Linked DNA regions of Mus musculus: region 2 is reported to be linked to region 1. The links are microRNA targets in miRTarBase. Many come from high-throughput screens and were not tested one by one. Region 1 holds a microRNA gene; the other region holds the end of a gene's coding sequence.
What was found. Region 1 holds the annotated microRNA mmu-miR-540-5p (CAAGGGUCACCCUCUGACUCUGU, at 1,555-1,577, opposite strand). A microRNA usually pairs through its seed, bases 2 to 8, with sites in the 3' UTR of a target mRNA and lowers its output. Matches are read on the target gene's strand: a 7mer-m8 pairs with bases 2 to 8, a 7mer-A1 pairs with bases 2 to 7 and ends in A, and an 8mer does both.

Region 1 (4,393 bases):
CCGCCAAGAGGCTGCCAGTGATGTTGACTGCAGAGGTGCGTTTACCCACAGCCCGCACGAACACAGACCATAAAGGACAATAAAGGCCCGCAGGCCTACCAATCTACCCAGCAGGGATTTGTCCCCATTAACAGCAAAAGGAGGTGGTCCGGACTGTGAAGAGAGCTGGTGACGTGCTAAAACGTGCTAAAACGGTAGGTTATCAGGTTATCGGCGGAGCCACTTATAGAGATTGAAAAACACAACACAAACCTTTTTTTTTCTCCTGGGGAAGAGAAAAGAAAAGAAAGAAATTGGTGTGAAAGTTCCTGCTAGGGGATGATAACATCACTTCCAACCCTGTCAAGGTGAAAACCAGAGGCCAGGCCCTGGCTGCAGACTCCACCCACCAAGGAGCTGCCCCCACTTCCCAGCTTCAGTCCCCAACCAGAGAGCTCTGACAGCATCCAGGAACAAAGAGGAGCAGGGGCCCTCCCTTGCCCACCTTCCCTGTCCTCTCCATTGCTTCCCCTTATAAGATGTCCCTGCAGGTACCAGAGCCAGTGACAGCACACACACAGGACCCTGAGTCCAGAGTTTTACCAGCTCCTCACCAGGCTGGAGCAGAGATCTCCACATGCCTGGGTAACCTGGGCTAACTTGGGCTACCCCCATAGTAAGAAAAGGAAAAGAAAATATTACCCACCCCTCAACTGTCCCATACACCTTAAGCCCTGGTGCTGGGCCCAGGGGACCACATCGTTAGACACGATCTGAGACCTGAGCAGCAAACCTCATCTGGACTTTGATCCACCTGTGTGAGCTGAGAGACACGCATGACCATCTTGCCACCAAGACCGTGCAGGAGCACAAGTAGGAAGAAGGAGATTGGGGGCAGAGGGGGGGACAGGGAAGGGAGAGACAGTGGTGAAGGGGAGGGGGACTGGGTGTGGCCTGGGTCCTCCCTGTCCTGCCCTCAAATCCTTTCACAGCTTCCAGGCTATTCACTCAGGGTGCTCCTGTGTGCCGGGGCTGGCTGCCATAGCTGGTAAATGCAGTTAATAATGGTGGTGTTGTGGGGATGGAGATGGGCCCTGTATGCATGCAATGACCTAGGTATTGGGGTTCAGACTCTACGCCAGCTGCTCATTGTGCTACTGAAGTGTCTGTGGGCACCCGGCCTGGGAGGAGGATGAACAGGGATCTTCTGCACTCCTTAGGGGATCCAGAGTTTGAACTGAATGAGGTGAGACGTCTCCAGAAGGGCTCAAGGAGAGAGTAAGAGGCCGCCTGTAAGGGACCTCAGCCTCCTGGTCATAAAAACATAATCCTGGATAGAGGCAGAGGCCCCTCAAGGAGACCCTGTTCTGGGAGCACTGGTAATGCTCAGCCCTGCCCTGTCTCAGCCCTGTGCCCTGCTCTAGTAACAAAGACCCCATCTCTCAAGGATCCACCCTTTCTGCTAGGAGCTGGGTCCCCTCAGAGGACCTCCAGGAGAGAACGGCTCCTGGAATCCCAGTGGGAGGAGCCCCAGAGTAGGCCCAGGATCGACCTCTGACCTGTCTACCCTTGGCCACAGAGTCAGAGGGTGACCCTTGGCCCAGCCCCAGGGAATGTCCCACCAGGGGTATAGCTCCCCCGCCAAGGAATGATCTCAGGTATGGCCCAGCCCCGGGTATTCCCCTCCAGGAACTGTGGAGAATGGCGAGAAAGCATGCCAGGGGAAAAGAGCGAGCTGAAGACGCGTCCCTAAGCGGCCCAAGGTGCGCGGAGGAGGGTCCGGAGGCCTCACGCGGTTGAAGGGGGTGAAGAAAGGCATCATATAGGAGCTGAATGGCTGTGCAATCAACTCCTGCATGACGCCGTTCCCACCCCCCAACTTCTCACTACACTGGGACCCTCCTCTCCTGAAAAAGCAAGGCAAGAAGCACAGACAACAGGTAGGACAGACTCCCAGGGCTTAGTGTTAGAGGAAGGAAACCAAAGGCCAGCCAGCCCTAGGGCACCTGCAGCACAGTGGAAGCATCTACCCTCCTTGCCCAACCTCACTTCTTATAAACTCTCATGGAGTGACTGGAGCCAATCCAGGGGATGAGGAGGGGGGAGAGGGAGCAGAGGGATGGGAGGGAGAGAGGAGGGGCAAGGGAGCACTGAAGGAGGGGTGGGGAAGCGGAGAGGGAAGGAAGGGTGACTGTGGTCACAGGAGTGTCCTGCTAAGGTCCATCCCGAGTATCCAGTGGGTTCCTCTGCAGACCTAGAAGGGACTCATGGGAACCAGCAGGAGCTTAGACGCCCCAGATGGATCCCCCAAAAAGATGCATGGGTTAAAAGCTACTCAGTGTGGTGAGGGGACAAACTGCAGGTACAGCTAACAACCGCTCCCCAGGTTCTTTGAGTGTCAACTTGAGTTACACTCCTCCATGAATAACTAAAAACCACAAACTGCTTTTGCTTGCCTGTTAGTTTTTTTGTTTGTTTGTTTGTTTTTGAAACAGGATCTGTGTAATCCAGAGTGGATCCCGACTTCTCCATCTTCCTGCCTCAGGCTTCCAAGTGTGGCTATGATTGACAGGCCTCTGTCACCATGGCCAGCTTGAATGGCACATGTGTATCACCTTACATATGAATAAAGTAAAAAAAAAAAATCTTTCCTGACTTGTGCTCTTCTCTTCCTTGTCTGGCACACCCACCAACTGCCAACAAACACTTGTCCCAGCATAGTCTCAGAGAGCAGGGTATAAAGAGGTAGTATGGGGGTGGGAGGGAGTAGTAAGGATGGGAGGCCAGAAGACAGGTGAACACAGGTGGGGAAGGGAGGACTCGGTGTTAAGCCAGGGAGGAAGGGAGCTGCACACGACATGTGAATGACAAAGGGTTAAGGCAGCTCAATGCTGTGGTAAGATGCTGCAGATGTCAGTGGGGCAGGGGAGAGAGAGAAGGGGGGCTCAGGGCAGCATGTGGAACACAGCTGCACATCATCCAGGGCAGAAGAGGGTTGCAAAGGGACATGTATGTGTATGGGAGCATAGGGACATGGCTCACGGGAAGCAGGAGGGTCTCAGGGTGACGTATGTCACAAGGGAGAGATGAAGGATATGATATCCCACGCAAAGAGGGGGTCTTCATGTCATAAAGAAAAGAACAGGGACATCCCATGATGCCTACCTACACAGGGGGGTGTCAGTAACATATGGAGAGATTAAGGGATTAAATCTAGCGGATGGGGAGTGGTCCAAGGCTATACATGGGGGAGAGAATCCATGGTACAGGGGAGAAAAAATGTAAATGTGATGTGCAGAGGAGGGGTAACATGACACATAAAAAGAGGAGGGGCTCAGTATGACTCTTGTACAGGAGAGCCTATGACTCCTGAGAAAGAGACTGGGCTGCATGTGGGACATAAGGAGGAGGGGCTCTGATAGAGGAAATAGGGGCTCGGTGTGACATCTGTCAAGGAAAGTGTTCATCACAAGTGGGGAGAAGGACTAGATGTGACACCTATGAGTTGCTTTGTGACCTGGAGGACATGCACGTCACAGTGTGGTATGTGTAGAGGCAGAGCGCTCCATGTCACAAGGCAAGGGGTGGATGTCTCAACGTGCTGCGTGCAGAGGTGGGGCTTCCCAACATGAAGAGAGAGCGAGAGGAGAAGAGTTCCGTGTACCGCATCTGGAGCACCAGCAGGGTTTGTGGTGACTAAAAGGAACGAGGGCTATGGGACACATGATTTAGGGGCCCTCTCACGATGGAGGAGCTCAGAGTCAGGGAGGGGCCTAAGGTGAATGGGGAGTAAGTGGGATGAAGCTCGGGTGCACAGGGCACACGGGTGGGGCTAGGCTAAGCATGACACACGTGGGGAGAGGTGTTCTCTCTCTAGGACACATGGGTAGAACTCAGGTGACCACGACAGGTGTGAGAGGGGGCATACAGAACGTAGGAAGGGTTAGGCTAAGCATGACACATGTAGAGGAATGGTGCTCTTCAGGACATATGGGTGGAGCTAGGCAAAGCGTGCCCCATTATGGAATTTTCTCTTTAAGACACATGGCTGACAATAGCCTAACCCTAACACAGGATGACAAGAGGAGAGGACTCAGTGTGAGGCCAGCAATAAGACATAAGAAATGTTAACACATGAACACAGAGGGTCTTGGAAGTGCAGCCTGATGGGAGGGGTCTGTCCAAGACAAAGCAGGTGTAGTGGGAAACCATGTAAAGATAGGGAAGAGAAACTTACTCTGACCCAGGTAGGGGAGTGGAGCTGAATGTGATACCCGTGGAGAGATGAGACGCAGTGTGACTCAGGACCCTTGTTGTGATTCATGGGTGGTGGGAGGGGCTCTGTGTGTGACATAGGTGTAGAAAGTTTTGACATGTAATGGGGTCTAGATGAGAAACACTTGGAAAAGAGACA
Region 2 (4,393 bases), not on the chromosome of region 1:
AAAACAAAAAGTTATTCACCATCTGTCGTCAGTGTTTGACCCTGGCTCTGAAAAAAGTACACAGTAGACTCAGAATGACAGGACAGTGAAACAGATGGCACCCTCCCAATCTCCAACACCTCAATGTGTGAATCCAAACCCTAATTAATAAAAACAAAAGGCTGGAGTCCCATTTATTTTTAGACACCAGAATACTCATGACAAAAAGACCCTTTTATTTACAGAGAAATCCTTTTCTTGAAAACATTTCTTTAAAATGTGTTTTAGTTGAGTTTTCCAGTTTCCACATTATGTGTCATGGAAGTGACAAAGGCACTGAAGAACAATGGGCTTGTAAGGCAGCAAGAACTGTAGTATCCTCACTCTGGAGATAAACTGCACATCACTCAAATCACTAGAGAACTTCTATAGTCATTTTTTCTGGAATCTTAACCCACACTTTGTTTTAAAACCCCATTCCAATGATGGAAAATTTTACACTTAACAAAATTTAGTTATATCTGGAAAAAGCCGTGTTCATAACTAAAATGAGAAGCTGTCTTTAAAACAAAATATTTCAGAGACCAAACTTGCAAGAAGTCCAACAGTATTTGAATTTTTTAAATGTTACGTAACTGAACAGTACATCAATGCTTAGAACCACCTTAGAAAGAAGTAGTAAATATATAAATGATTCTACAAGACACTGCAATATACTTCGTGTGATTTTTATTTGGGTCAAGTTCTTAGTACACAGCAGTAATTATTCCGAATACAATTTAAAAATTAAGTGACTGTCCCTCATTCATCTGGAGGTGCTTAATGGCGCACACAAGGAATGTTACTGACAACAGTTGTCTGCTCAAGTTGCCTGAATGGTTTTTTACTCAGTACCACCAACTCTCTGGGAACCCTTAGTGTAACTGCCAGATCATAAATTGTTTACATTCTTTTTGTAAACCATTTTATTAAGAAAAAAAGGTATAGGACATAAAATATGATTAAAAACTGCTTTCCCATAGATTTCTGAACTTGCGAAAGAGGCTTCACTTTAATGTGAAAATAATCCTTTTTTTACAAAAAAATTAACATATTTTGCAAGGTCATTTACACAGCTAGGCCCTGTCATTTGTTGATTTTTTTTAAATAGAGATTCTCAATAAAACAAAGAGCATAAAGTAAATTTAGATAGCCAGCTCAATGTCTTCATTTAGTAACTTTGTAAGGCTCTCGTAAGTAAGGCTGTGTACTTTGTTGTGCTCCATTCTGTTCCTGCCAGCATAGAACTAAATACAATGCATTCTTGCTACACACAGCTTTATAGAAAGGTATTTATGAATTAAGTTTTAGAAGGGGTGAATGCAGGTTGCACTTGAATTCCTTTAAGCAATCTGAATACTTTGATGGTTATTAATCAGAACATGGCATATTTTTTCAAGTATAATCCTGAATACAGATAGAACTCTATTTCTAAAGAAAAGTACAGCACGCTTAGTTACAACAGTTGGTCCGGTGGAGAGAGAACCGAGCACTGAGTCAAGAACTAACTAGCTGCTTATCTAAAACACAGCATCACTCAGGTGAGACCGGGACAAACATTGTTAAAGCTTATTAGTTCAAAAATTCTGATTCCAAGTAAATGGTGTTAGGGAAACATCAAGTCACCTTCGGGAGGAGTTTCTGGCCAAAGCTATTCATAAGTAAACAGCTCCCATTCATTTCAAAGATTTGGAAGTCTACCAACCATTTCTTCCACCAAAGCCCTTTGCAGGCGTAAAGGCGGCCTTCGGGAGACACCATGTTCTCCATGAGGAGAAAAGAGTAAAGCAAGCTGTACTGCAGAAAGGTGACCTTAAAAGAAAATGAGAACTGAAAGATAAAAGCAAGCTATCATTTTGATGTCCCACACGTAAGAATCATCTTTAATCAACATAAAACTGTTAACGAGGCAACTACATGGTAGACATCATTTGTAAAGATGCATAAACCAGTCTCTAGCCAGGCAATATAAACAGCAGTAGTACTGGTAAGGAAAGGAGGGGGTAAAAATTGTCACCCAGTGACTTAAGAATAGCAAACTCAGCAGTCCTGTGCTAATCCCTAGATGAGGACAAGTACCTCTCAGGAAGACAGAAGTAGCCAAAAGGAAAATACTGTAGGAGACATCTTTAAAAATTCATATTTATTCCAAACACAGCAGGCTGAAATCTTGGGTCTAGATTTCAAAATATTGGCACTATTTTTGTTTCTAATTTGCCTTGGCTATAAGATCAAACACAAGAATGTATTTTCACTCAGATCCTTGGACCTTCAAATATTAACAGCAAAAAAAGAGACATGTCCAGTCTTTTCTTTTTTTTTTTTTTAAGGGTAAAGGAACTGTGCACAGAATCAGACATTTCAGGATAGACCAGAGCCCTCAGTACCTGTGTCTTGGTAAAGTGGTTGCATTCTGGTCAGCAAAGTTTCAACATTTGTTTAAAATTCCTAATATCAACCATATTTTAGTTTATGGGCAAATAAATGGGAAAATTTACAATAAAACAGGAAATAACCTCACAGTATTAACAGCATGCAATCTATAAAATATTACATACATTAAAAGTCTCCGATTACTGTAGGCCTGGCTCATTGTTACAGAGTATCCTTCCAAAACAATTCATAGAATCCAAAATTGAAAAAATTTAAGATTGGGGGAAAAGGCCAACATAGAGTATTTTGTGTTTCGTTTTTAAACCCTATTAGTACTCAATAATACAAGGGGGAGGGAGTCATCTGTCCCATGGATTACCCCCAGTGCAAGTCTTCAGCACAAAGGATTTCACAAGTGTTTTCTGCAAACCCCAACTCAGCAGGAGTCCAGAAGATAAACTGTATTCCTGGTGCCTACCACCAGTTGTTTCTATGACTACAAAAGCTAGTTGTTTGCTGGGTTTCCAAACGTCTTATTAGTCAACTAAGCTTGTTCAACAAAAGGCTACTTAAATAAATAATTAGTGCAACTATTTTTCAAAAGTTTCCATGTACCAATACAATCAGAGTTAAACGTTCATATACAGTCTTGCTTGGGTCCATAATGGAACTAAAGGTTCAGAGGACTTCAGGGATATATTCTGAAGACAGTCAAGATGACCTAACAAATCCATGAAGTGGAACGTGTGCTAGAAGCAAGTTAAAGAATCCAAAGCATCTAAAAAAACTCTAAAAGTGTGAGCCGGGCGGTGGTGGCGCACGCCTTTAGTCCCAGCACTCGGCAGGCAGAGGCAGGTGGATTTCTGAGTTTGAGGCCAGCCTGGTCTACAAAGTGAGTTCCAGGACAGCCTGGGCTATACAGAGAAAGCCTATCTCAAAAAATCCAAAAAAAAACAAAAAAAAACAAAAAACAAAAAAAACAAACCATCTAAAAGCGTGATAGCTGATGTGCAATGTGGTTTTAAAATAAAATTAAAACCAAAACAGCCTGCTGCTCCTGGTACAGTGGCTCCTCCTTACAATCCTAGTATTTGAGAGGCTAGAGCAGGAAGACACCATGTCTGAAACAAACAAAACCTACAACCTTAAAGCAAAAGAGGTCTTGAGAAGAACACTGTCTGGGTCCGAGTTGCACAGTGAAGCCTCAGGTGCAGATAGCGGATCTACCAGTGGAGTGTCAGTGCCTTATAGTCTGCTTTTCTTCACATCTACAACGCTTGTTCTTCTAGCATCACCAGACAGCATGTACAAGGCCTGCATCTGGATTACAACAGCTTTACTTCCTCTTCGGTAGATGAGGGAGATGCCAATAGTTTCAAATACATACTACTGATTTTCCTCAGTGTGACTGGGCAAGTATTTTATTCTATTAGTCTTCTCCAGCACACTCTTCACTCTGAATCACAAAATTCAGAATATTACTAGGAGTGCCACTTTAGAGTCTAATCACTTCAGATCAGGAGGAGACTTATTTTTCTATAGCTGAGAGATTGAAAATGACTTGGCATCAGCTAACACTGCCATTGATAATGGTCCAAGAGCATGGTAGCAGCCTTTCATTCCCAGTCCAGTGACTGTCAAGAGACTTGACAACACTAGTCTCTGCTAAAAAATTAAAGGTGGGGTGGGGGGGTTGAATATCAAAAGAACAGTAATAGCTGGTCTGACTTCCTGCTCTGAAACAGCCTAAGGCTGGAGATCCTTAGGAACCTTCGTATCCAACAAGCTCACCTCAGTACATGAAGTACCTACACCACATTTCACATTGCTTTCACTGGCTGCTATCAGCAATGCAGTCTCATGCAACAGTGCATTAAAATCAAACTGTTAACAACCCTGGGAATATTTGGAGACTTTCACATTTTGTCATCCTTATAATCTACAAACAGGACAGGGTGCAAGGGAGTTCAAGGTTAACTCACCTAGCGCACTCCAGTGCTAA

Region 2: the mRNA of Abi2 is a reported target of mmu-miR-540-5p. Seed matches in the 3' UTR shown: 7mer-A1 at 2,345-2,351.

Annotation. Positions count from the first base shown.
Region 1 is chr12:109,583,269-109,587,661 of GRCm38, reverse strand. Mir540 (microRNA 540) reads right to left here and starts at 1,582; the gene lies at 1,516-1,582. Mir337 (microRNA 337) reads right to left here and starts at 1,873; the gene lies at 1,777-1,873. It overlaps Mir3544 (microRNA 3544), which reads left to right and starts at 1,789; the gene lies at 1,789-1,849. It overlaps Mir665 (microRNA 665), which reads right to left and starts at 1,348; the gene lies at 1,255-1,348. It also overlaps a transcript of Rtl1 not described here.
Region 2 is chr1:60,477,457-60,481,849 of GRCm38, reverse strand. It overlaps Abi2 (abl-interactor 2), which reads right to left. Exons shown (of 12, transcript NM_001198570.1): 12 at 687-3,847. The coding sequence ends at 3,843. It also overlaps a transcript of Raph1 not described here. Among named protein-coding and RNA genes, the nearest start is that of Abi2, 70 kb to the right of the region's middle.